3 linked regions of the Pelodiscus sinensis genome follow. The protein of the gene in region 3 interacts with the protein of the main gene of each other region in a pairwise test. Links are inferred from orthologs where the notes say so. Each region holds a gene or a part of one and is shown on either strand. Other genes may lie near its edges.

What was found.
Region 1: the proteins of ATXN1 (region 3) and HIVEP1 interact in binary tests that used the Homo sapiens proteins (3 or more experiments, as listed by UniProt). The link is inferred for Pelodiscus sinensis from reciprocal best matches to the Homo sapiens genes ATXN1 and HIVEP1.
Region 2: the proteins of ATXN1 (region 3) and ANP32A interact in binary tests that used the Homo sapiens proteins (3 or more experiments, as listed by UniProt). The link is inferred for Pelodiscus sinensis from reciprocal best matches to the Homo sapiens genes ATXN1 and ANP32A.

What each region holds. Positions count from the first base shown.
Region 1 is NC_134712.1:109,735,576-109,742,849, reverse strand, and holds the start of HIVEP1 (zinc finger protein 40), read left to right. Parts: upstream 1-4,262; 5' UTR 4,263-4,415; intron 4,416-4,568; exon of another isoform or gene 4,569-4,689; intron 4,690-4,715; exon of another isoform or gene 4,716-5,595; intron 5,596-6,043; exon of another isoform or gene 6,044-6,406; intron 6,407-7,274.
Region 2 is NC_134724.1:2,514,133-2,522,133, reverse strand, and holds the start of ANP32A (acidic leucine-rich nuclear phosphoprotein 32 family member A), read right to left. Parts: upstream 3,013-8,001; 5' UTR 2,866-3,012; coding exon 2,812-2,865; intron 815-2,811; exon of another isoform or gene 800-814; coding exon of another isoform or gene 797-799; intron 706-796; exon of another isoform or gene 606-705; coding exon of another isoform or gene 588-605; intron 142-587; exon of another isoform or gene 1-141. UniProt on the Homo sapiens protein: Multifunctional protein that is involved in the regulation of many processes including tumor suppression, apoptosis, cell cycle progression or transcription. Promotes apoptosis by favouring the activation of caspase-9/CASP9 and allowing apoptosome formation.
Region 3 is NC_134712.1:107,835,977-107,843,558, forward strand, and holds the start of ATXN1 (ataxin-1), read right to left. Parts: upstream 3,004-7,582; 5' UTR 2,847-3,003; intron 1,305-2,846; exon of another isoform or gene 983-1,304; intron 663-982; exon of another isoform or gene 416-662; intron 358-415; exon of another isoform or gene 209-357; intron 1-208. UniProt on the Homo sapiens protein: Chromatin-binding factor that repress Notch signaling in the absence of Notch intracellular domain by acting as a CBF1 corepressor. Binds to the HEY promoter and might assist, along with NCOR2, RBPJ-mediated repression. Binds RNA in vitro.

The DNA.
Region 1 (7,274 bases), about 1.9 Mb from region 3:
ATCGTCATTTTCGCGATCGGGGCTTTTTTCCGGAAAAGACTACTGGGCTGTCTACACTGGCTCTTTTCCGGAACAGTGTTCCAGAATAAGGACTTATGCCCGAGCGGGAGCAGCATAGCTTTTCCAGAATAGCGGCTGATTTTGTACGGTAGAGCATTGTTGCTTTTCCGGAAATTCAAGGGCCAGTGTAGACAGCTCGCAGCTTATTCCGGAAAAGCAGCTGATTTTCCAGAATAAGTGGCCCAGTGTAGACACAGCCAGGGTGTGTCTAGACTACATCCCTATGTCAGCAGAGGGATGTAAATGAAGCACTTTGAAAGTGAAAATGAAGCGGGGATTTAAATATCCCGTGCTTCATTTGCATAATTACATAATGGCGCTCTTTCGAAAAAGGGCTCTTTCGAAATTGAAACCACAGTCTAGATATGATTTTCAAAAATGGGGCGCTGTTTCGAAAGATCCTGTAAACCTCAGATTTACAGCGCCCCGTTTTTGAAAGAACCGCGTCTTGACTGAGGTTTCAATTTCGAAATAGCGCTTTTTCAAAAGAGCGCCATTACGTGATTATGCAAATGAAGCATGGGATATTTAAATCTCTGCTTCATTTGCACTTTCGAAGTGCTTCATTTACATCCCTCTGCCGACAGAGGGCTGTAGTCTAGACGTAGCCAAAATGAGGTTTACAGGATCTTTCGAAAAAGTGCTCTGCTTTCGAAAGAACCGTGTCTAGACTGCGGTTTCAATTTCGAAATAGCACTTTTTTCCAAAAGAGCGCCATTACATAATTATACAAATGAAGCATGGGATATTTAAATCCCTGCTTCATTTACACTTTCAAAGTGCTTCATTTACATCCCTCTGCCAACAGAGGGATGTAGTCTAGACATGGCCTTACTGATTTAAGATATAATGGCATATCAGTTAATTATATTCTGGTTTATTCTATGCCTGCCTAGTGCATGTCTTTACTACAGACTTAAATCAAACTATGTTAGGTCAATTTACAGCCAATGCAGTAATTACTGTGGTGGCTGATGTCCACACTGACCTCCTTCTGTCAGTGGTGCACGTCCTGACCAGCAGCACTTCCACCAACTGAAGAGACTCTCAGCTCCATGCAGCTCTGCACAAGGAGCCCAGCTGCCTCCCTGGATTCCTAACCCCCCTGATTTCTGCTGGGAGTAAGGGGGCAGTCACACAAGCTTCTGGGCTTCTTGCCTCCGTGAATGGGGAGCTGGGTGGGTGCAGCCAACTGAGAGCCAGGGATAGCCAGGTTCTAGCTGCCTGCCTTCCTTATCAATTTCACATTCCTAACATGAAATTAACAAGGCACTTAATATCTGATGTAAGTAAAGCAGTGTCTACAGCGACACTGTGTCAACCTCACTCCACTGTCATAAGCAGTACACTTCTTGTAGAGTTGGAGTTATTACATAGGCATGGTAGGGCACTTACATCGGGCAGGACAAGGCTGACTGAGTTAGATTAATGGAATCTGCCTTAAATCGACTTAATTGTGTAGTCTAGATCAGGCCTAAGCCCCCCACTATCCAAGGAGTCTGTGCTTTTATATGTTTTGAGTGACTAAAGACTGTGAGAGAAATACAAATCTAAGCTTGATTAATGCATATGCCATGTTGCAGTGAACGATATAAGCAATATTAATATTTGCTGCCTAAGGTAGTTAAATTTGCCACAACACTCACCATATTTAATAAGAACTGCAGTAAAGTAAAATACTGTGGGCATGGTAAATGCTGATTTATTTAAAGTTTTATGTTATATCCTGGCCTCTCCCGTTTCTAAACTTTCCACATACTTTTCTGTGGTAGAATCAAGGTGCGTCTGTTTTAGGACTAGGACTTGTAGGTTCTAATGCAATATTAATAATAACAATTAGCAATTATAAAAGTACCTTTATACAGAATCACCTATTGTCAAATATGAATGTTTTATGCATAAATCTAGCGGGAAGTTATCAAAATTTTAAAAATTAGTCCCTTTTGAAAATGCAATAGAGAGTCAAAAGTAAAATATGCTTTAGTAGCCCTTCTCTCAACTCACCCATTTGAAGGGTGACTCTTATGTATGGGACTAATTTTAGATGCAGTTTTTAAAGTATTTTAGTTTTGTGAGAAGAAGTTTGCAGTGTGTTTCAGTGAGAGATTTAACATTTCACTGATTATTTTTTTGATATCTCCCTCATTCACAGGGCCAGAATAAGTTCCCAGATACTTGTTACTAAGAATATTCCATATCACTTTTCATCCTTATATTTCCAAGTGTTTCACATAAGTGGATATGCATATTTTTCTACTTTACTGTGGAAAAATCAGAGCAGAAAGAGAGGAAGTGACTTGCTCAAGGTCACACAGCATATCAACAATCAGAACCCAGATTTCCTAATTTTTTTCCAGCCATGTTACTATTCCCTGTTAGCTAGATGACTAAATCTAGTAGCCAGAGACAGATGTGAAAGGATCTCAACAGCAAGGGTCTAGAGGCAAATCCTTGCTAAGAAGCTCATTTAACTCCCTATCTCCTGGAAGTGTACTAGGATTCCTGTCATGGTGCTCTCCCTGAACACTGCTTGAAGAATTCATTTTAAAATTAGGATGTAGGTACCTAGTCCCACTGCAGCTTCTGAGTTCCAGAAGCAGTGATGGGCTAGAAGGTGGGATGTATGCTATTTTCATCTTCTCCTGTTTTGTGAATAGCTCCATTGCTTCTGCTGCTAGTGATTCAACAATCAGCAATCTGAAATTGATGCTGCTCTTGTAAGGCTTATGTCTATTTCCTGGATTTAAAGTAATAGTCTCCAATTTCATTATGCTGCTTGGGAAACCTGTGAGCATAGTAGAGACACTAGGAGCTGTCTGTCTACAGATTCTGGAATGTAGCACTTCATTGGTTCACATTTGAAAAATTACACTTGTGCCCAAAGGGTTAAAACAGTTTTTTCATAAACGTTAAAATTTCAGATACTGATGAGTTAGTGCCGGCTGTTACCAGGAAATCTCTGTATTCACTGTGGGTGAATGGGCTTTCCAAGAGCATCTCATTCAGACGACATAGGTTGACAGCACTGTTTCACCCACAGGCATAGGACTGGTCTACTCTGGGAACTTATATTGGCATCGCAATATATTTCAGGATTTCTCAACCCTGGGAAATGTAACTATACCAGCCTAGCCTAGTGCAGCCAGAATTAAGTTGCAGAAGAATTATGCCTCAGGAAGATGGATTTTTTTACACCCTTGAGATGAGGAAGGGGTTTGCCTGTCAGTGCAGGTAATGTCTACAGTGAAGCGCGACAGCATGTAGCTGCACAGCTCTTTAAGTATAAGAATAACTATACCTAAGTGATAGCATAACCTATGTGATGATCTTGCAAATATACTATAACCCCAAAACATCCAATGCCTTTGGGAAAAATGGGCATTGTATGTCACATATTACTGCCAGGGATGTGATATTATTATTTGTATTCCATTAGCACTTGAGAGTCCTAGAGAGGATGCCTGGTCTGATGGTTGGGGTGCTAGTCTGAGACTCATGAGACCTGGATTTAACTCCCAGGGTGTTGTTGGATAAGTCACTCTACCTCAGTTCTCCATTTGTAAAATGAGGATAATAATACTTTCCAGCTTTACACGGATGCTGTGAGGACAAATACTCTAAAAATGGCGAGGTGCTCATAAACTATGCTAATAGAGGCTATGTAAGTACCACAGAGGGAGAGCCCAGTCCTAGACCAAGATCTTGTGTTGATGACACTGTATAGATTTATAACAAAAAGTCAGCTCTTGCACTGGAAGGTTTACAGTCTAGGACAAGACACAACAGATGGATATAAATAGCTGAAGAAACACAAGTAAACAATGTAAGACTTAATGGGAGGTCATTTAATTAGATTTGTTCTGTTAAAAATGTGCTGGATCCTGATGTGATATAAAGTAAAATCTCATGTAAAATTCCCCTGGCAACAGAAACTTAAAAGGTCCAGTGCTTAGCATAATGTATTTTAAATTTTAAAAAGCTCTCTGGTTTTAAACAAAAGGGAAGGGTTTTGTTTCGGTTTGTTTTTAACCGGCGATGGCAACCCCCCTCCTTTTGCTTCCCTGTAACAAGAGAAGGAGGAATCCCTCACCGCGGATCTTCCCCATTCAAAATGACCCACAGGCAAAATCTATATAAACAGCTGATGGAGTAAACCAATCAGCGCAGTACAGCTAGAACAGCAAAACCCTAGGCAAGGGCCAAAAAAGGGGAGCAGCAGTAGAGAGCACTAGGCACCTCCTCCTTGTATTTCCTCTCACGCCCACATCCAGCAGTGGAGGTTTTTTACTTTCGGCTTTTGTCTCTTTATTTTAAAAGTTAACTGGGAAAGAATGTGCAAAGAGTGCGGGCATTGGGTGAGTTTCTTCTTTTAATCTCGTTGGGGGGAAATTGTATGGGAAGGGTTGGATGGTGGGGTGTCCTCGGTATGGGGAGGTTTTATCGGTATGTTGCAATAGGAAGGAGGAGGGGATTAGGCGTAGCTGCTAGGGAACGGGAAACCCCAGAGAGAGAGAGAGAGGAGAAAGAGGACGCAGCATGTGTGACCTGCCAGTGGCAGCAAGGAGGAACCTCCGGGATCTCCGCGTCAGCAGCAGCCCCAGTTATGTGCATACATGGGAGTGTGTGCGCGTATGTTTTGTGTGTCTTCTCTGTGCTGGCGGGATGGGCCGCTATAGGGGGGAGTGCGACACGCACCTGCGTGCCCACGGCATTGCATTGTTGGGGTGGGAGAGAGAATGCAAATGGATTTGTAATAATTTTTCTTTAGGCTCTTAATCAACTCCTGTCTGGGCATGTCTCCTCCGAGGAAAAACAGAGTTTTCTTTAATAAGACTTTAACAGTTTGTGGCTGCTGCTGGGATTAATCGTTGGGATTAACTGCTTCATGACTGAAAATGTCTCCAGTTCTGCCCACTGACCAAATAAGATGTCCGGTCCCACACACCGATACAGGTTAGCCTGGTGCCGCACCATCTCACGTGTTCTAACATAGTGTGGCATGGTGCAACATCAGCTCAGGCTCTCCCCAAAGTCTGACAACACTGTTGTGAAGTCTGGCACAAATAAATTGATGTGTGGGACACAAAGCTGCATGGCGCCGCTGTCGTGCTGGTCAGTCTGCTTGTGATGTTAATATGACTTTAGCTGACATGGCACTTTACAGCCGGACCCAGTACTGTGCAGACTACCCTGGGGCACAGGCTAACGCGACATCTGCCCTGGTGTGACAGGGCATGGCCAGGCCCAGCGTGGCATTGTGCCATCTGGCACGAAGTCACTTTTGCTGAGTGGGCATGGGGGAGGGCACTGGGGAGAGGGAATTCTTACTGGCTGGGGGATTTTATGTGATTAAGTTTTTTTCAACGTGAGCCAGGGCGCGTGTCTAGTTTCACTTCTGTCCCTTCCCACCAGCCTGTGAGGAAACCCCCTCAGTGACCCCTCCCCCCTCCCATGCAGGCAGGGAAGAAGGCGGGGCCGGGAGACCCGGTGACGTCACTGGACCGGGCCGCTTCCTGCAATAGAAAGTGAGAGAAGGTAAAACACCCCCCCTCCCCCTCCCCCGCCCCAGCCCCGGAGCCGCCGCCACCGCCGCGCGCGCCTCCCCTCGCGCTGCCCAGCTGCTGCGCCCCGTGAGTGACCGGCCGGGCAGGGAGCCCCCAATGGCTGCGCCGCCCGCGGCCCGGCCCAGTTGGCCTGAACCGCCCCCCCCACCCCATGCCCAGCCGGGCCCGCCCGCTGCCCCCTGCCTGCAGCCCGCCCCAAGGGCGCCTCCCCCCCCGCAGCCCGGCCCTTGCCCGGGTCACGGGCGGCTCTGCCCAGCCCGCCCTGTGCATGGAGCATCACCCGCTGCTGCCTGCGCGCCGGGGCGGGACTAGTGTCAGACAGACCGAGCGAGCGACAGACATTGCCCGGGGGGAGGGGGCGCCCTGCTGGGGGCTGGGTGGCTGCGGGGGGCGCCGTGCGGGCGGGGCGCGGCTGCTGGAGCGGTGGGTGTCTGGACGGGCGGGAGTCTCGTCTGGGGGAAGGGGTGTGTGTTGGGGGGCTGCCCGGATGCTGGGGCGGTGCATGTGAGCGGGGTAGGGCGGGGGTGGGGGGCGTTTTGCACGGCGGCTGAGGCGGGGGAGGAGGCCAGCCCCGGGTTGTGTTTGTCCGGGGTTGTCAAGTGAAGGAGGCTCCCAGGCGCCGTGTTTCCTAGCGGCTGCCGCCGCCATCAGCAGGGCCGACTCCAGCCCCCTCACCCTCCCCCCCGCCCGGAGCAGCCTGGCCGCGGGGGACCCGGGTGTAGCCCCAGAGCGGGTCCCGGGGAGCCGCCCCCTGAGCCGCGGCGGCGCCCAAGCACGCCACGGTAGGGAGATGGGGGCGGGCGGGAGGGAGGGACCAGTAGGCCTGGCTCCAGCTGCCGTCGTCCCCCACCCCCATTTCACTGCCGGGGGGCTGCGGTTTGTGTGAAACCCGCCTTTACTCCTGTTCCAGCCGCGCGTGTCTGTTTCCTAGCCGGGGAGCGTGAGGCGCCCCCAGGCAGGCTGGGCTGTGGCAAGGAGTAGGCAGGCATCCCGGTGATTTCCCCCTCCCCCAGCCCTTCCCATTTGTCCCCCACCCCATGCATCTCTTCCCCGGGTCAGTCCCGGTTTGCAGTCCCTCCCCCCCCAGCTTGTGGATGGACGTGTGCAGCGCTTTGTTCGGTGCGGCCGTGTTGCAGAGGGGTTTTCCCAGGCTCCTCCCTCTTTATTCATTCATGTTTTTCCCCTTTGCAACTTGTGTTCGCACTCTACCATTTAGTGCCTCTCTCTGTCTGTGGGTTTTTAAATCTTTCTTCTATGTTTTTAAATCCTAGCCTCTAATCTGCTTTGCTGGTGATCACAATATAGGCTTGTTTTAGGGCTGATATTTCAAACTGAGGAGGGAAAACGAAATTTCAAATGTTTTTAAACGATTTTTACCACTTCCATCTGATTTCCCATCCCCAGCAAAATAAAAATCTTATTATCTTATTGCTGGTGGGCAACTGAAGTATGCTGTTTTAATAAATATGTAACGTTATTTGTGTTGCTACTAAACACTAGGACATCTAAAAGCATATATTCAAAGAGGTGTCCCAATTTTGAAACGTACTTGCATGCTGAACCTCTAACACTTACGGGAAATGTATTTTTTTTACACATTTAAACTCCAGTGAGAGCTTAATTATTATCATCCCATGTTCAGAGATGCTC
Region 2 (8,001 bases), on a different chromosome or scaffold from region 3:
CGACTCATCCATATCGCGGCTGCAGCCGGCAGTGAGTGTATCGCCATCCGGAACCCACTGTGCATGCGACCTGCTAGGTCTGCTCGCTTCTTCCAGCTCCCGCGCAGCAGCTCGGGTGGGAAACGGGACAAGGCACAAGCCCAGGCTGGGCGCCAGGCCCAGCCCGCGCCGGCGCCGAGCGGAACGGGGCGATGCAGCCAGGCGCTCCTGGCGAGCGTGCGACCGGCCTTCCAGTCTCCCCCGAACGTTCGTCACCGCCCCGCGGAACGCTCGCGAACACAACGTTCCATTTCGAGACGCCAAGGTTCCATTTAAAGATACAGGCTCCCGAGTCCGCGCTCCCCAAGAGCCGTTTGTGCAGGGGAACAAGCGAGCACTCCCCTTTGCACAGACACGCACCCATACATGCCCGCCTCCCTCCCTGAAGACCCCTCCCCGGCCACATCAGCCCCACTGCAGCAGGATTCGGGTTCGAACACGCCGTTAGTCGTGCCTGGCTGGGAATCGGACTATAAGATTGTTATCTTCTTTAAAAACAACCTTCTCCCCTCCCCCCTCTGTGACAAAACAGTGACAAAATGGCAGACCTGAATGCTGGCAGTCATGTTACACACACACAGAGCGAGCCCTCCGTGCGCCCTCATTGCTTCCGTCAGCCGCCCTAACCGCCACCATTCCACCTCTTCGACCTGCCCTCGAACAAAACACGAAGCATTTCTCCTCCCCACCGAATAATCATTAATAGGAAACTGCAGACCTATGAAAGCTTCTCATTTTAGGTTGTAACACGCATTACCATTTAAAGCAACCCCCCTCAAGTCCCTCCAGAATTTCACAAGGAATGTTTGCTAACTGCACCGCTGGTGGCTTTAAGAATTCCCTCCTTTGGGGTGTTCGCACGGATCCTAAAGCATAAATCGCCTTGGTTTCATACCCCAGCCTTTTTCTCCTTTGCAGCTCGATGGAAAAAACATGGCGTCTTGTCCTACTTCAGGTTTAGTGTGGCGCTGCCAACGCGAGGATACAAAGTTGGGAATGATTTCATGGGGTGGAGGGAGGGAGGAATATTTCAGCTCCCCGGCAGAGATGTAGGGACAGAGGCCCCTCATTAGGAAGCTCCTCCGTTTGCTCTTTGTCCTCTTTGCAGGGCTCTCACAAACAAGCCCTCTTGTACTGAGCTAGCTGGCACATACACGCGGTGCAACACAAGGGAGCACGAGCAGCCCCGCTCATGCAGCAACCTGCACGCACACACACGCGCACACACACACACACACCACACAGCACTTTGTATTAATAGGTGTTGCTGCTCAGATACAAGGGAAGGTGTCTGACCCACTAGCCAGCTCCATACACACTCCCTCCCTCCCCCCTCAATACTTTTTAAAGTTTAAAGCGAAGGTTACGTAAATCCGCCCAGCTTTGTCCGTCAGACATTTTACTGGCGACAGGAAAAGTGCGGGGCAGTTTTCCCCCTGTCCCCCTGGGATACTTTTGATTTCTGGAAAGGTATGTGTTTATTCACTCCTATCTACGTCCAGCGCCTTTCAAAGCTGTCTGGTCTGCAAGAGGGAAACCGAGCCGGAGAACACCTCCCCTTCCCCGCAAATAAACTTAGTATTTAAGCCATTATATAATGCCCTCTTCGGTCTTGGCTTCTAAAAATCCATGGCCACATGTGTGGGATCGGTTGTTTTGGAGGGGAGGGTTTCCCCCAGAGACTGGCTTTTTACTGTGTGTTAATTGCACTAAAACTTCCCAAGGTAGGAAAAGGCACTTGCAACGATCCCATGCACCGATGATTAAGGAGGAGAGACCTCCGGTCACCTTTGCGCAGCACAAAACACCAAATTCCCATCGCAAGAGAACACCCACACCCACCCCTACACAGAAGCAACCTTAATTTCTCCTTGGGTGCATTTGGCAAGAGGTTAGGGGGTCTGCCCAAGTTGGGTGACCCCCACCCCTCTCGCCTTTCGATTGCTATCGCTGCGGTAACAGTAAGAGACAAACAGAAAAAGGAGGAGAGGTAACTAGGTTTTCTCTTGTCTGCATAATTTGTGCCCAACCAGCCACGGTCTATTTTTGTCCTGACAAACTTTCTTGTTCTCGTTTATTCAGTCAGACGCTGAACAACAACCTAAGTCCAGCCCCAAGGAAAAAAAAAAACATCCAGCCTTTTTGTGTGTGTGTGGATGGAGAGAGGGTGGAGAGTGGATTTATTGGGGCATTTTTTAAAAATTAAAAGCTTGCGATATTGTCAGCTGGCTCCGATTTTTAAAACCACTGAAGGTTTGCTTAAAAATCCTATTTTTTGTCTTCTCAGCATCTGGAGAGAGGGAGAGAGAGAAAGGGCGCGTTCATGAGGACTACAAAGTTACAAATATGGCTCCCCAGTCTCTCTTGCCTGATCACTGCAAAGAAATGAAGACGCACTTTAAACTAAACCATTTTCAACTCCCTCACGCTCCCTCCCTGCCCAACACTCCGTGCAAATATTTGCCAACAAAACCAGCCAGCGAGAGCCACCAACTTATTTTCATTTAATGCCTTGCAAGCTCCTTGAATGCATTTCACACCAGCAGACTCGGGAGCAGCTTAGTTTTCCCCTAGACCATAACGCGTGCGCCTTTGGGCACCCCAATTTAGGTGCACGGAGACATCCACACACCGGTAGGCACCTCAAGGACAACAGCGGCTTGAGCAGCCGCTGGCACGGGCGTTCCCTATTCCAGCTGCACCCCTACATTTTCTAATCATTTTAATGCACCCCCCAAAATGTGGGATGGATTTTTTTTTTGCATTGCTTACATCTGAGGGCGTCCTGTTCCGCAGCTCTAAGTGGATCCTTTTCTTCATGTCCATGTCCCTGGTTAGCAGGAGTCTCTCGCTTTGCTCAGCTCCTCTTTTGTATTGACACCACTGAAGACCCCCCCAAAGCCAGCGCGGTGAGGGACTTTGAGAGCTCAACCAGCTCCGCTTGGAATCCCGAGCCCCAGCACCGCGGCTAACACTAACCTGATAACAGCGGAGGCGGGCACTCCCGGGGCCTCCGCCGCGATTGACAGTGGGCTCGGCCAACCGCGACGCGGCAGCTGGCGGCTGGAGCCAATGGGGCGGGCACAGCGCGGCGGGAGCCAATGGGCGAGCGGCGGAGCCGGCCAGGGGACAGCCCGAGCGCGAGCGGAGGCTCAGTCGCTGCTGGTGGCTGATGGGGCAGGAGCGGCGGCGGCTCCGCGGTGGGATGGGGGCGCAGCGCTTTCCCGCCACGTTCGCCCCGCGCCGGGGGGCGGCGCCCTGGGGCAGCGGCCGGGCCCGAGGGGGAGGGGCGCGGCGCCCTGAGGGGCGGCGGGGAGAGAAATGGCGCGCGGGCCGCCGGGGGGAGGGGCCGCGGGGCCGAGGGCGGCACGTGGGACTGAGGGTGGGGTCGGGGGTGCGCGGACGGGGCGGTGGGGCGGGCTCTGGGGGGTTGGGGTGCGTGGGGGGGGGGCTGAGGTTGGGGGGGGCTCTGGGGGGTTGGGGTGCGTGGGGGGGCTGAGGTTGGGGGGGCTCAGGGGGGTTGGGGTGCGTGGGGGGGCTGAGGTTGGGGGGCTCGGGGGGTTGGGGTGCGTGGAGGGGGCTGAGGTTGGGGGGGCTCGGGGGGTTGGGGTGCGTGGAGGGGGCTGAGGTTGGGGGGGGCTCGGGGGGTTGGGGTGCGTGGAGGGGGCTGAGGTTGGGGGGGGCTCGGGGGGTTGGGGTGCGTGGAGGGGGCTGAGGTTGGGGGGGGCTCGGGGGGTTGGGGTGCGTGGAGGGGGCTGAGGTTGGGGGGGTTGGGGTGCATGGAGGGGGCTAAGGTTGGGGGGGGCTCAGGGGGGTTGGGGTGCGTGGAGGGGGCTGAGGTTTTGGGGGGGTTGGGGTGCATGGAGGGGGCTGAGGTTTTGGGGGGGTTGGGGTGCATGGAGGGGGCTGAGGTTTTGGGGGGCTCGGGGGGTTGGGGTGCATGGAGGGGGCTGAGGTTTTGGGGGGGCTCGGGGGGTTGGGGTGCATGGAGGGGGCTAAGGTTGGGGAGCTCGGGGGGTTAGGGTGCATGGAGGGGACTGAGGTGGGGGGCTCACGGGGGTTGGGGTGCGTGGAGGGGGCTGAGGTTTTGGGGGGTTGGGGTGCGTGGAGGGGGCTGAGGTTTTGGGGGGTTGGGGTGCATGGAGGGGGCTGAGGTTTTGGGGGGCTCGGGGGGTTGGGGTGCATGGGGGCTGTAGGGGAGCAGGGTGGGATTGGGGTGCATGGAGGGGGTTGAGGTTTTGGGAGGCTGTAGGTGGAGCTAGGTGGGGTTGAGGTTTTGGGGGGCTGTAGGGGAGCTGGGTGGGGTTGTGGTGCATGGAGGGGGCTGTAGGAGGAGCTGGGTGGGGTTGGGGTGCATGGAGGGGGTTGAGGTTTTGGGGGGCTGTAGGCGGAGCTAGGTGGGGTTGGGGTGCATGGAGGGGGCTGTAGGAGGAGCTGGGTGGGGTTGGGGTGCATGGAGGGGGTTGAGGTTTGGGGGGCTGTAGGGGGAGCTCAGTGGGGTTAGGGTGCATGGAGGGGGCTGAGGTTTTGGGGGACGGAGCAGGGTGGGGTTGGGGTGCATGGAGAGGGCTGAGGTTTTGGGGGGCTGTAGGAAAGGGTGGGGTTGGGGTGCACAGAGGGGACAGGGTTTGGGGGGGCTGTAGGGTGAGCTCTGGGGTCAGGTGTACAGAGGGGGTTTGAGGTTTTGGGGGACTGTAGGGGAGCTGGTTGTGTTTTGGGTGCACCGAGGGTACAGGGCTGTAGGGGAGCAGGGTGGGGTTGGGATGCATGGAGGGGACAGGGTTTGGGGTGCTGTAGAGGAGCTGGGTGGAGTTGGGGTGCACAAAGGCAGACGGGGTTAGAGGGCTGTAGGGGGAGATGAGTGGGGTTGGGGTGCATGAAGGCGGATGGTTTGCGGGGCTGTAGGGAGAGCTCAGTGGGGTCGGGTGTACGGAGGGGGTCTGAGGTATTCGGGAGCTGTAGGGGATCTGGGTGGGGCTGGGGTGCATGGAGGTGGACAGAGTTTGGGGGACTGTAAGGGAGCTGAGTGGGGTTAGGGTTCACGGAGGGGGACAGAGTTTGGGGGAATACGGGGAGCTCGGTGGAGTTGGGTGCACGGAGGGGGTCTGAGGTTTTGGGGAGCTGGGTGGGGCTGGGGTGCACAGAAGGGGGCTGAGTTTGGGGGACTAGCGGAGCTGAGTGGGGTCCAGGTGCATGGGAGGGGGACAGGGTTTTGGGGGGGGTTTAGGGGAAGCTCAGCAGGGTCAGGGGTGCACAGAGAGGGACTGAGGATTTGGGGAGCTGGGTGGGGTCGGGTGTGCGGAGGAAGGCTGAGGGTTTGGAGGGCTGAAGGGGGAGTTGGGTTGGGGTGCATGGAGGGGCTCTGAGGGTTTGGGGGATCGGAGGGGGAGCCCAGTGGGATTGGGTGCATGAAGGGAGGCTGTGGGGGGGAGTTGGAGGGGTCAGGGTACATGGAGGAGGTTTGGGGGGCTGGGAGGGGTCGGGTCCGTGGAGGGAGATTGAGGGTTCAGAGGGATGTAGGGTGGCCTGGGAGGGGTTGGTGCATGGAGGGGGACTGTGGGTTTGGGGGAGGTGAGGGCTGTTGGTCACAGTGTATGGTGCAGGAGGAAGAATGGGGGGAAATGGGGTGGGTGGAGGCCAAGCGCCATTGGTGGGTGGTTGGTATGGAGGCCTGTTGGAATGGGGCAGGGCTGCTCACTGAATGTCTGGGATGCAGCCCTGACGTGATCAGGTTCTCTCTGTCCCCACGTAGCTTGGTGGGGAGCTGTGCAGAGGAGCACAGTCTTGGGGCTGCGAGAGACATGGAAGGACCTTTTCCTGTGGTTCCCCCCTCTGGAAGGGATGCGTGCGCCTACGCTGCGGCTGAGCTGCTGCCTCAGCTTGAGAGAGGCTGCCACATCCCAAGTTGCTTCTTATTGTACCTTTTCACTTATCTTTTGTCCCTACTTCCCCAGCTTCCTCCATACCATGCTATACCCTGAGGCTATGTCTACACTGGCGGCTTCTTGCGCAAGAAAACGTCCACAGTGCCATGTGCAAGCTGTGCTTTTGCACAAGAGCGCCCATGGCAGTGTAGAGGCTCGCTTGCGCAAGAAAGCTCTGATGACCATTTTAGCCATAGGACTTTCTTGCACAAGAAACCCCTGCCGAGTATCCACACTGCCCTCTTGCGCAAGAGGGCTTACACCTGTTAAAAAATAGCGTAGCTCGTGCGCAAGAAGCCCTCTCTTACCATGCCGTACTGTAAATCTTCCGCAAGAGAGGGTGGGCAGTGTGTTCGCTCTGCAGATTCTTGCACAAGAACGGCTGTTCTTGCACAAGAACCTGCCAGTGTAGACGTAGCCTGAGACTAAACACAAAGGTATAGGTGAGATAAGTGACTCCCACACACACAACTGGATGGGACCACTTGTCTGTGCAAGCCATGGAAGCTACTAGTTCTGGAGGAAGCATGTTGTGACAAGCGTCAGAGGCTGAAACACCACATGCGTGGAAACAGAATGTGTTATTTGTAAATCAGATCCCAAAAGGGCAGTGTTCTCTTGAGACATCTCTGGGTCCCTGTGAAGACACTTGTGTAGTGTGGTCTTACAATGAAGGACTGTCACAAAGAAGGCCTTGCAGTCTTATTTCAGAATGCTTTGGTGTATCCTGTTGCCAGATTAAGAGGTGAGAGAGGTCTATGGTGCCAAATGCATGTTGGTAAGGCTAACTGTCAAATATTGGTTCCATTGGTATTTAGCTCGCAGTAAAAGACACTCATTGGGTTCTGTATATGAATGGATTTATCAGGGATGGCCATTTTCACTGGGATCAGTGTGCAAGACTCTCAGTCTGGCACTCTTCTCTCTTCCCCACTCTCCCCCCCAAGAAGCATGCAGCCTTATTGAGAACATTATAACAGTCCTTAGGCTAGTTTTAAATGTTCAGAGTTCTGGACAAACACAAATGTCAGGCTAGTTTTTATTACTGAGCTTCATAGGCTCTGAAATAATATGTATTGAACTAGGTAGGCCTGAGAAGCTCTTGGTATAGAGGGATGCTTCATCAGAAGGTTTTAGGCTGGAGGAAACCATATGTTGAAAGCACAAACTTAAAAGCAAAACAGATTGATAGTTAAAAATAAAATTGGCTTGGAAGTGGTCAGAATTATTTCCCCCTCCCCCTCTTTAGAATTCATGTAAGAGTAAAAGCCTGGACTCCTAATTTTTTTCTTGTTCTGCTTATGATTTGATATGACCCTGGAAAAGTCATAAACAAGTTAATGTTTGTAAAGAACTTTAAGAATACTGAATGAAGAAGGATACATAATTTGAATTTTACTTTAAAAGAGGTCAAATCCATTTCCTTCAAACATTGTGAACAAAATTGTCTCTTAGGCTGAGACATTGTGCAAAGTTTAGTCCTTCAGTGAATTTTGAATACTAGGTTATGAGCCTCAAGTTGCTTGTGGAAATAAAAGGATTTAGAACCTTAACTAGATCTATCTGTGCCATATAAATATTTTTTCCAAGGACTGAAAATATATTTTCCTTTTACATAGCAGTTTGAGAGAAGATATAATGAAAAGTGTTATGTAAAAGCTAGGTATTATTACTCCCAAATGATAAAATCATATAAGTACAAACTTGGTTTTGTTAGGTTTGTATTAAGTTCCATCTCTTAAAAATCAATTGAAAATTAACTGCTGTGTAAATGTGATCACATAAAACTTCAGTGAGAAATAAATGAAATTCCTTTTTTTCCTACCTCTTACCACAGGGAGTTCTATAAGTTTTGAAAAGAAGAGCACATAGTTTAATTTTTGACAGTGTCTCCCAACACAGAACAAGTGCCCAAACCTGAAAGAGAGCATATTTTTACAGCTATTCATGCATTTTCAGATTAAAAAGCTAGATCTTCCACTACTGTTAACAAGCAGTTTGGTCACAAAAAGATTTTTATTAGCTTTAAAACAAAAAT
Region 3 (7,582 bases):
CAATTCTTTAGCACCAGAGGCTGTTGCTAATCCCCTCCTGGAGGAGCTAAATGGTCTCTTTGCTTTTAGCCAGCCCCAGATCTCTCTTACAGGGACTGGAAGAGGATGAGACCAGGAGAGGCTCTGCAGACGGTGTGAAGGGGGAAAACGGGACACCCAGGCCTCCCCTGACCTTCCCGCCCCCCCGGCACTAGCCCTCCTCACTCACTGCTGGAAGTGCCAGCTGCTGGTGTCTCCAGCCGGCCTGGGCCGTGAGTGCAGCGTAGTGGGTCCGCTGCTGAGCGCGTTCCCCGTCCCAGCGCCGCCTCCTCCCCCGCCTCCCCGCTTCATTCACCCCTCCGGCAGCCAGCCTGACCCAGCCCGTACTACACGGCGCAGCACGGGCCGGCCGGCGGCGCTCGGAGCCCGCACACACCCGGCGCCGCGCAAAACTCCAGCTGCTCTCGCTCGCCTGCGCGCCGGCTAATGCACCCGGGGCAGCCGCGGCCAGAGCCCGGCAGCAGCCGAGCGAGCCTGAAAACGCCACCTCTCCCCAACGCGCAAACACACGTCCGCTCTCCTCCCCGTTGCGCGGGGGGGAGGTGGGGGGAAGGAGGTTGACTGAAAGCAACCCAGACCCAGGGGCTACGGCTGTCTCCGTGCCTGTACCCCCTCCTTCCCCCTGCCTCCTTCCCCCCCTCCCCCCGGACATTGCTTGCATGCACGGAGTGCGATGCATTCCAGCCACCACCCCCCCCAATGTGCCTCCCCTCCCCCCAGGATCGCCAAGCCATTTTCTGGCCTCCAGGCTTCCCAGAGCTGGGGGGTCGGGCCGGGCTGCAGTAAGGGAGGCTGAAGCACCCTCTGTGGGGTGGCGAGTGCAGTCCACTCCCCCCCCCTGTTTCTCTCCAGCTGGAAAGCACCGGGGGGGGGGGGGGTTCCAATCGAAACGAGAGAAGCAAAAAAAAAAAAAAAAGCAGAGAAGGAATAAAAAGCCACTTACTGCCAAGTGTCAGGGGAGATGGGGGCAGAGCGGGACTCCACATACACACACACACACACAGTCTTGCTAGCTGATCACAAGGCGAGGGGGGGGATGTTGGTTTGTTTGGTTGCTTTTTCCCTCCTCCTTCCCCCTGCAGTGACACAGGTCCTGGATGTCTCCACCACTGCCTGTAGTAGAAATGATGTCTGCGGTGCAGCGCTCTCTCCCTCTTCTCTCCAGTATGTAAATGTGTAATAGAAGCCAAATATGGAGCAGTTGGCTGCCTCTGCAACAGCTCAAGGATCCTACTTCATGCAAAAGGGACGGGGGAAGGGAGGAGAAGAGGAGGAGGAGGCACGGCAACACTTTGGCAGGCGGCCAAGAGAGCCACACAGATTATTGCATACGCACCACAGAGCCGGGCCAAACCAGGCTTAACCCTTTACAGGGCTTCTTCCCAGTTTAGAGGAGACGGGGATGTGTGTGGAGGGAATTGCAGGGGGGTGAGGCTGCCCCCCCCACACACACACACACACTCTAAAGGCAACGTTTGCCTTCAAAAGCACAATTACAAAAAATACTCAGCAGCCTGTGGCTCAGGACCCCTAAGTGGACCGTGACCCTGGTTTAATGGGTCACCTGGGCTCAGATTATACTTCCTGAGGCCAGTGCTGAAGCACAAGCCACACTGCCCAAGGCTGAAGCCCTTTGGGCTGTGTCTTCCCTCCCCCAGCCCCCCGCACACATGCACACACCAGCCTGAGATGGTGGGACTCAGGCAGACCCATATGGACGATTGGTGGTGGCAGGCCCTTTGCTTTGAGGAGCCCCATGGCGGCCACCTCAACCATCCTATGGACAGGAGGGACCGGGGAGCCTTGTGCAGGGTGGGCAGCATGGGTCACCCCCTTCTCCCGCACTCATCGCAGCAGCAGGATTCAGAGCAGCCCAGCAGCCTGCTCTGCTCCACAAGGCTGCACTGTCCCAGCCAACTGTGCTCTGCTTTTCAGCAGCAGTACGAAGCAGACTGCCCTGGCCCTAGGGCACTCTGCTGCCCACTGCCGCAGAGAAGCAAAGCACAGCAGGCTGGGGGCGGAACAGGCTGCAGGGCCACTCTAGCTCCCACTTCCAGAATGAGTGGGGAGTGACTCCTGCTGCCACTCACGGGAGGGGACAAGTGTGTAGAGCAGGGGTTGGGCTCGTGGAATGGACAGGGTGGAGCCTGCAGCATAGGGGTTGCCCTGGGCTCCACACTTGGGGCAGTGGGGGAGGGATTGCCCCAGGCTCATGCCCCCCCCCTCCTCGTCCGGGACAGCCCTGGGCTCAGACTGTAGCATTGGTCCCCCTACTCAGACCAGCAGGGCTCAAGCAAGCTCAGGCTTTGGTTCCTGGAATGTGTACTAGTGCAATGAAGTTTGAAAACCCCTGTGCTACTCTAACGCCTCATGTCCATGGGGATCTCATAGCACTCTGTCAACAATAATGAAAGTGATCAAAGGAGAGCCTGCTGGAGATGCCTGCATGCTGTCCTTTGGAAGTGGCAGAGAGTGCTAATTTAAGGGACTGCTGAAGATCAGCCACTCAGTGAGGAGTTGAGGGGGTCATTTTCCTAATTAGTATTATTCCTCCAGGGACAAATCCTCAGTTCCTATTGGAGTTGCTTGGAAAAAGATGCCTACCACCTAAATCAAACCCCAAATGACTTTTACTCAGATCCCTTATTACACGGCAAGAACACAGGCAGATGTGGACTTTGTATAGCCAGATACTTTTAGGTGTTGACCACGTTCTGGACTCCCTAATACACACTATGCAGATTACACTTATCCTGAGGCTGAACCTCTTCCAACTATTCCCCCAAGTAAAGCAATTTACCACTTACCTCTCCATGAGGCTCCGGCCTCCACTTGTTCCACTGTTCTGTTCCCCTCAAGAAATGACACAGGCCTCAGCAGACCCATTACTATAAATCGCAAGCGGTGGGTGGGAGAATAATATGCTCAGAAGCAAGGAAGAACCCAAAAGCATGTCTTCTCTGTTAACTCCCTGGGCTGGATCACTCCTGTCTATGATTTCCAGAAGAAAACAGAAGAGAAAGAAACTTGTGACTTCAGTTGACAAAGAGGAACAGAATAGCAAAATTCAAAACTAAAAATATTCTTGAAGAAGTGACAAAATCAAGTTCCTTACCTCCTAGAACATTAGGACGCAAGGTGGGAGGAGGTATGAAGGCAGTGGGTCCTGAAAGAAACAATGTCTCTGTGCCTGAGCATCAGCACACATGAGGACATAGCATGAGAGCGTCTCTCTTAGCTGACACACTAGAGATTGAACCAGGGAACCTTCAGAACTAAAGGCATAAGCTGATACAGCTTGAGATAAAGCTCTGTGTTTGAGGATATAAAGACACATGCCTTTCTAAATACAAACAAGCTAGGCAGTTGCCTAGAGTGACAGATTTTGGCCTGTCTGTCCCCTCCAGTCATGATGCTGGGGTAATTGGGCCAAGCCTGAGAGGCACCATGACCCTGTGTGCCAGGTCACTATGCCACTTGCTCAGATTTGGCCCAGCTGCTCCTTCATCATGATGGAGGGGTAGCTGGGCCAAATGTGACTGATGTGTAAGGTGACACACTGACATGTTGCTTAGGATGGAAGAACAACCTTGGACACTTCACCTCTGGATCAGCACAAAGGGAGACTAGGAACAAAGTTATCAATATCAGACAGGTAGATTAACTAGTGTTGGTCTGTATCTGAAAAAACAACAAGGAATTCTCTGGCACCTTAAAGACTAACATTCATCTGGACATAAGATTACTTGTCAGAGGCATACTTACCAGTGTGTTTCAATGCCAGGGTTGCAACATACCCTCACAATGCACAAGCAGTTTCTGATGAAAAACAAAACCATTCAAAGTGGGCAATGGGACAAACCAAAAATGTGATCAGGTATAAATTTCTCCTGTATACTATGAACATTATGCATATGCTGCAGGGTGCTGTGCTGGGCCTTGTGGGATAGGTGCAATAATCCACAGGCCATGCAATGCTTGTAAGGAGTGCTGTGCATGGTCCCAGAGTAGTGTTTGTACCCAGAATGGGATGACTACTGGTGACACTCTGCAACTTGCACCAGTTCACTTACATCTGGACAAGTTATAATATGGCACTTCTCTAGTGTAGACACGCACCAGTGGCTACATGTAAAAAAATGCATGACTCTAAACTGTCAGTTTCTGTTGATGGGTCTGCAAGGTAATTCCTTATACAAAGAAATATGCGGTATATTTGTAACATAATAGCTGAAAAGATTATAATAAAAATATTCAAAGAGGCAATGGTTTTGATCAATAGGCAATAGAATAGTGTATACCATATAAAATAGATTTACAAGGCATAAGGATCCTTTATTATTACAATGACTGAAACTTTAGTTAAGAGTCCATATGTAACCTGATGACATTTTCTGTTTAATGAGATCTTTGGGGAAAAGAAACAGCAACAGGCCAAGACATTTGGACAGACATGCAACTCAGCACCTCAAAGCAGTGAATCTGCAACAGCAGCAGCAGAGCAGACAGCAACATCATCCTCACCCTGTTAATGCAAGATTCATTGATTGAATCAAAGGCAGGGAGGGAGAGAGACTGTGGATTACTGAAAATCAAGTGAAAGCATTAGTCAATTCTTAAAGTGATCTGGAAAAGTGTAGTGTGGGGGGGAAAGGTATATTATAATCTGGGAGAAGCAGCTTTGGGGGGGCAGTGGTTAAAATGCCCCCCACAGTGATCTGGCTTGATTAAAACAATTTTTTTTATTGACTGGGTCTGCAATCCCTTGCAATCCTTCATCCCATAAACACACTTTAAAGCACTGCCTCTAATGATATTTCAGCCCCTTCAGCTGGACACAGTTTTGAATGTGCTGTATTCTCCCGCTCCCGCTACCTTTTTCATTTCTCTAGTTCAGGGTGTTACTTCAGCAGAAAGGAATCTCTCATTCTAATATGTTCACCTTGCCAATAGGTGTGGCACACGCAGATAAAAAGTAGCCACATTCAAGCTGAAGCAAACTCAGAGCAACCTCCTCCTTTGCAGCAGATGAATGTGAGTCCGGTGTACACCTCTATTCTTTAGCTGCACAGTTTGCTGCAGAAACGCCAGGACCGGCCCACAACATTTTGGCAACTGAGGCGGGGAGCTCAAATGATGGCCCCATGCCCTCTTGCTTGGGCCAAAACTTTGAAAGTTCTCAATTCTGCCTTCTTCCTGTTTTACTCCTCTCATGATACTGCACAGAGAATACATATGCACCAGCAGCAGACACAATTTTCTACACTCTGAGTCCTAGGGTATGTCTAGACTACACCCTTCTGTCGCCAGAGGGATGTAAATTAGACATGCCAACATTGCAAATGAAGCGGGGATTTAAATCTCCCATGCTTCATTTGAATAAAAATGGCCACCGCGTTTTGCCAACTCAGCAATTTGTCAGCAAAAAGCATCTGTCAAAACGGGGATCGGGCAACAAAGAAAGCCTTTGTCGGCCAATCCCTTATGCCTCCTAAAATTAGGTTTACAGCATTGGCCGACAAAGGCTTTCTTTATCACCCGATCCCCATCTTGACAGCCGCTTTTTGCCGACAAACTGTTGACTCGGCAAAATGCAGTGGCCATTTTTATTCAAATGAAGCACGGGAAACTTAAATCCCCGCTTCATTTGCAATGTTGGCATGTCTAATTTACATCCCTCTGTCGACAGAGGGATGTAGTCTAGACATACTCCTAGTGTTGCCCCCCGCCTCCCTACAGTTTGACACCTGAGGCTGCCGCCTCAGTTTGCCTCATGGTAAGATCAGTCTTGAGAAACTCTGCTGCAGAATTGTGACTCCAGCTCTTAAATCTCTCAGTATATTTCTAGACCTCATGACTAACGCATAAATTGATGCAGTGTTGTCTTCCTAAGTCTGCAGACAACCTTAAAGCAGCTTTTGGGAAGTGCCACAAATCGAAACTGCTAGGTAGCAGTAATTCCAACAGCTCCTTACCTAGCTGCTGCTCTTTCATCATATTCTGAGAAATTCTCTAGGGCAGTTATAAGCTGTCATCACAAAAACCTTTAGCATACAAAAACCCCAAAATAGGAAGATTGCTTAAAGTAAACTGAATTTAATATTAAAATAAGCTATTGCACTAATTGCATTGTTAATTTTGATATTTGATGTATTACACAGCTACATTAAAAAAAAAAGCTGCAGCAGAATTTCCAGCCTCCACAGCAACCAGGAACGTTGCCACAAAGCACATGTCCAAGTTACCACGAAGTACAAGAACCCTTAATTAATGCAGAAGAGCTGGGAGACAGGGACATAATGTGACCTTTCCAAACAACTGGCACAAAAGGCCGGATTAATCCTTCAATCTTTATTCAGGCAAAATGCCCTATCGACTTCAGCTGGGAGTTTTGATAGAGTAAGAAGTGCAGACCTCAACCTCAAGGGAGGCAGAGTCATTTGCTTCAGAAAGTGAATGTTAACTACTCCAGGATGAAGACTTAGGGTTTGCTTCTCTGGCTCTTTGGAACTTTCTATAGTTAGTACTTCAGAGGAGTAGCCGAGTTGGTCTTTAACAGGAATAACTTTAAAAACAACAAATAGACTAGTCACTAGTAGCACCTTAAAGACTAACAAAACATGTAGATGGTATCATGAGCTTTCATGGGCACAATCCACTTCTTCAGATGACAGGAGTATTAGTAGTCCAGATCCAAGAATAGAATTAATGGACACAAATCAGATATCCAAAAAGGCAATACACAAAAACCTGTTGGAGGACACTTTAATCTACCTGGCCACTCATTAATGGATCTCCAAGTCACCGTTTTATTTCAGGCCAGTTCCACAAGCCAAATACACAGGGAAGGATTGGAACTTAACTTCATTTACAAGTTTAATTCTTATGCCAATGGTATAAGGACATCAGCTGGCTCGCACACTATCTTCCACATCCTATGACTTAACCTAACAACGAAACAACGGAGGTGCTAATTGTTCTTATCAGCCTATTGTAACTATTTGAACCATCTACTCACTGTCTCTTTTTAAATTTTTTTTCTCCTTCTCCTCCCTTCTTCCCCCCCTCCACTCCCGTTCCCTTTATTCTTGAATCTGGACTTCTAATACTCCTGCCATCTGAAGAAGTGGGTTGTGCCCACAAAAGCGCATGATACCATCTACATGTTTTGTTAGTCTTTAAGGTGCTAGTAGCGTATTTGTTGTTTTTTAAGTTATTATAGTCAGTACAACAGACAGAGCTTTGTCTGTGCAGAAGACAGAGATTTCTCAGAAGCTGGTCCAAGACTTTGGAATTATTTCTCCCAAGACCTAAGGGCCACCACAAGCCTCAACACCCTCCACTTCAAGTTCCAGGCACACTTCCTTGACCTTGCCTCTCTTACATAAGCACAGTAGTAGGTGAGTGTGTGTTTATATATGACAGATGTTAGGCAAATTGCTTAATGCACTACTACTAGAAGGTGTTCAGATACCAAAGGAATGAGCACAATATATAAACTTCTATAGACCAGAACAGGCTACATCTGAAGAGATTAGGTACT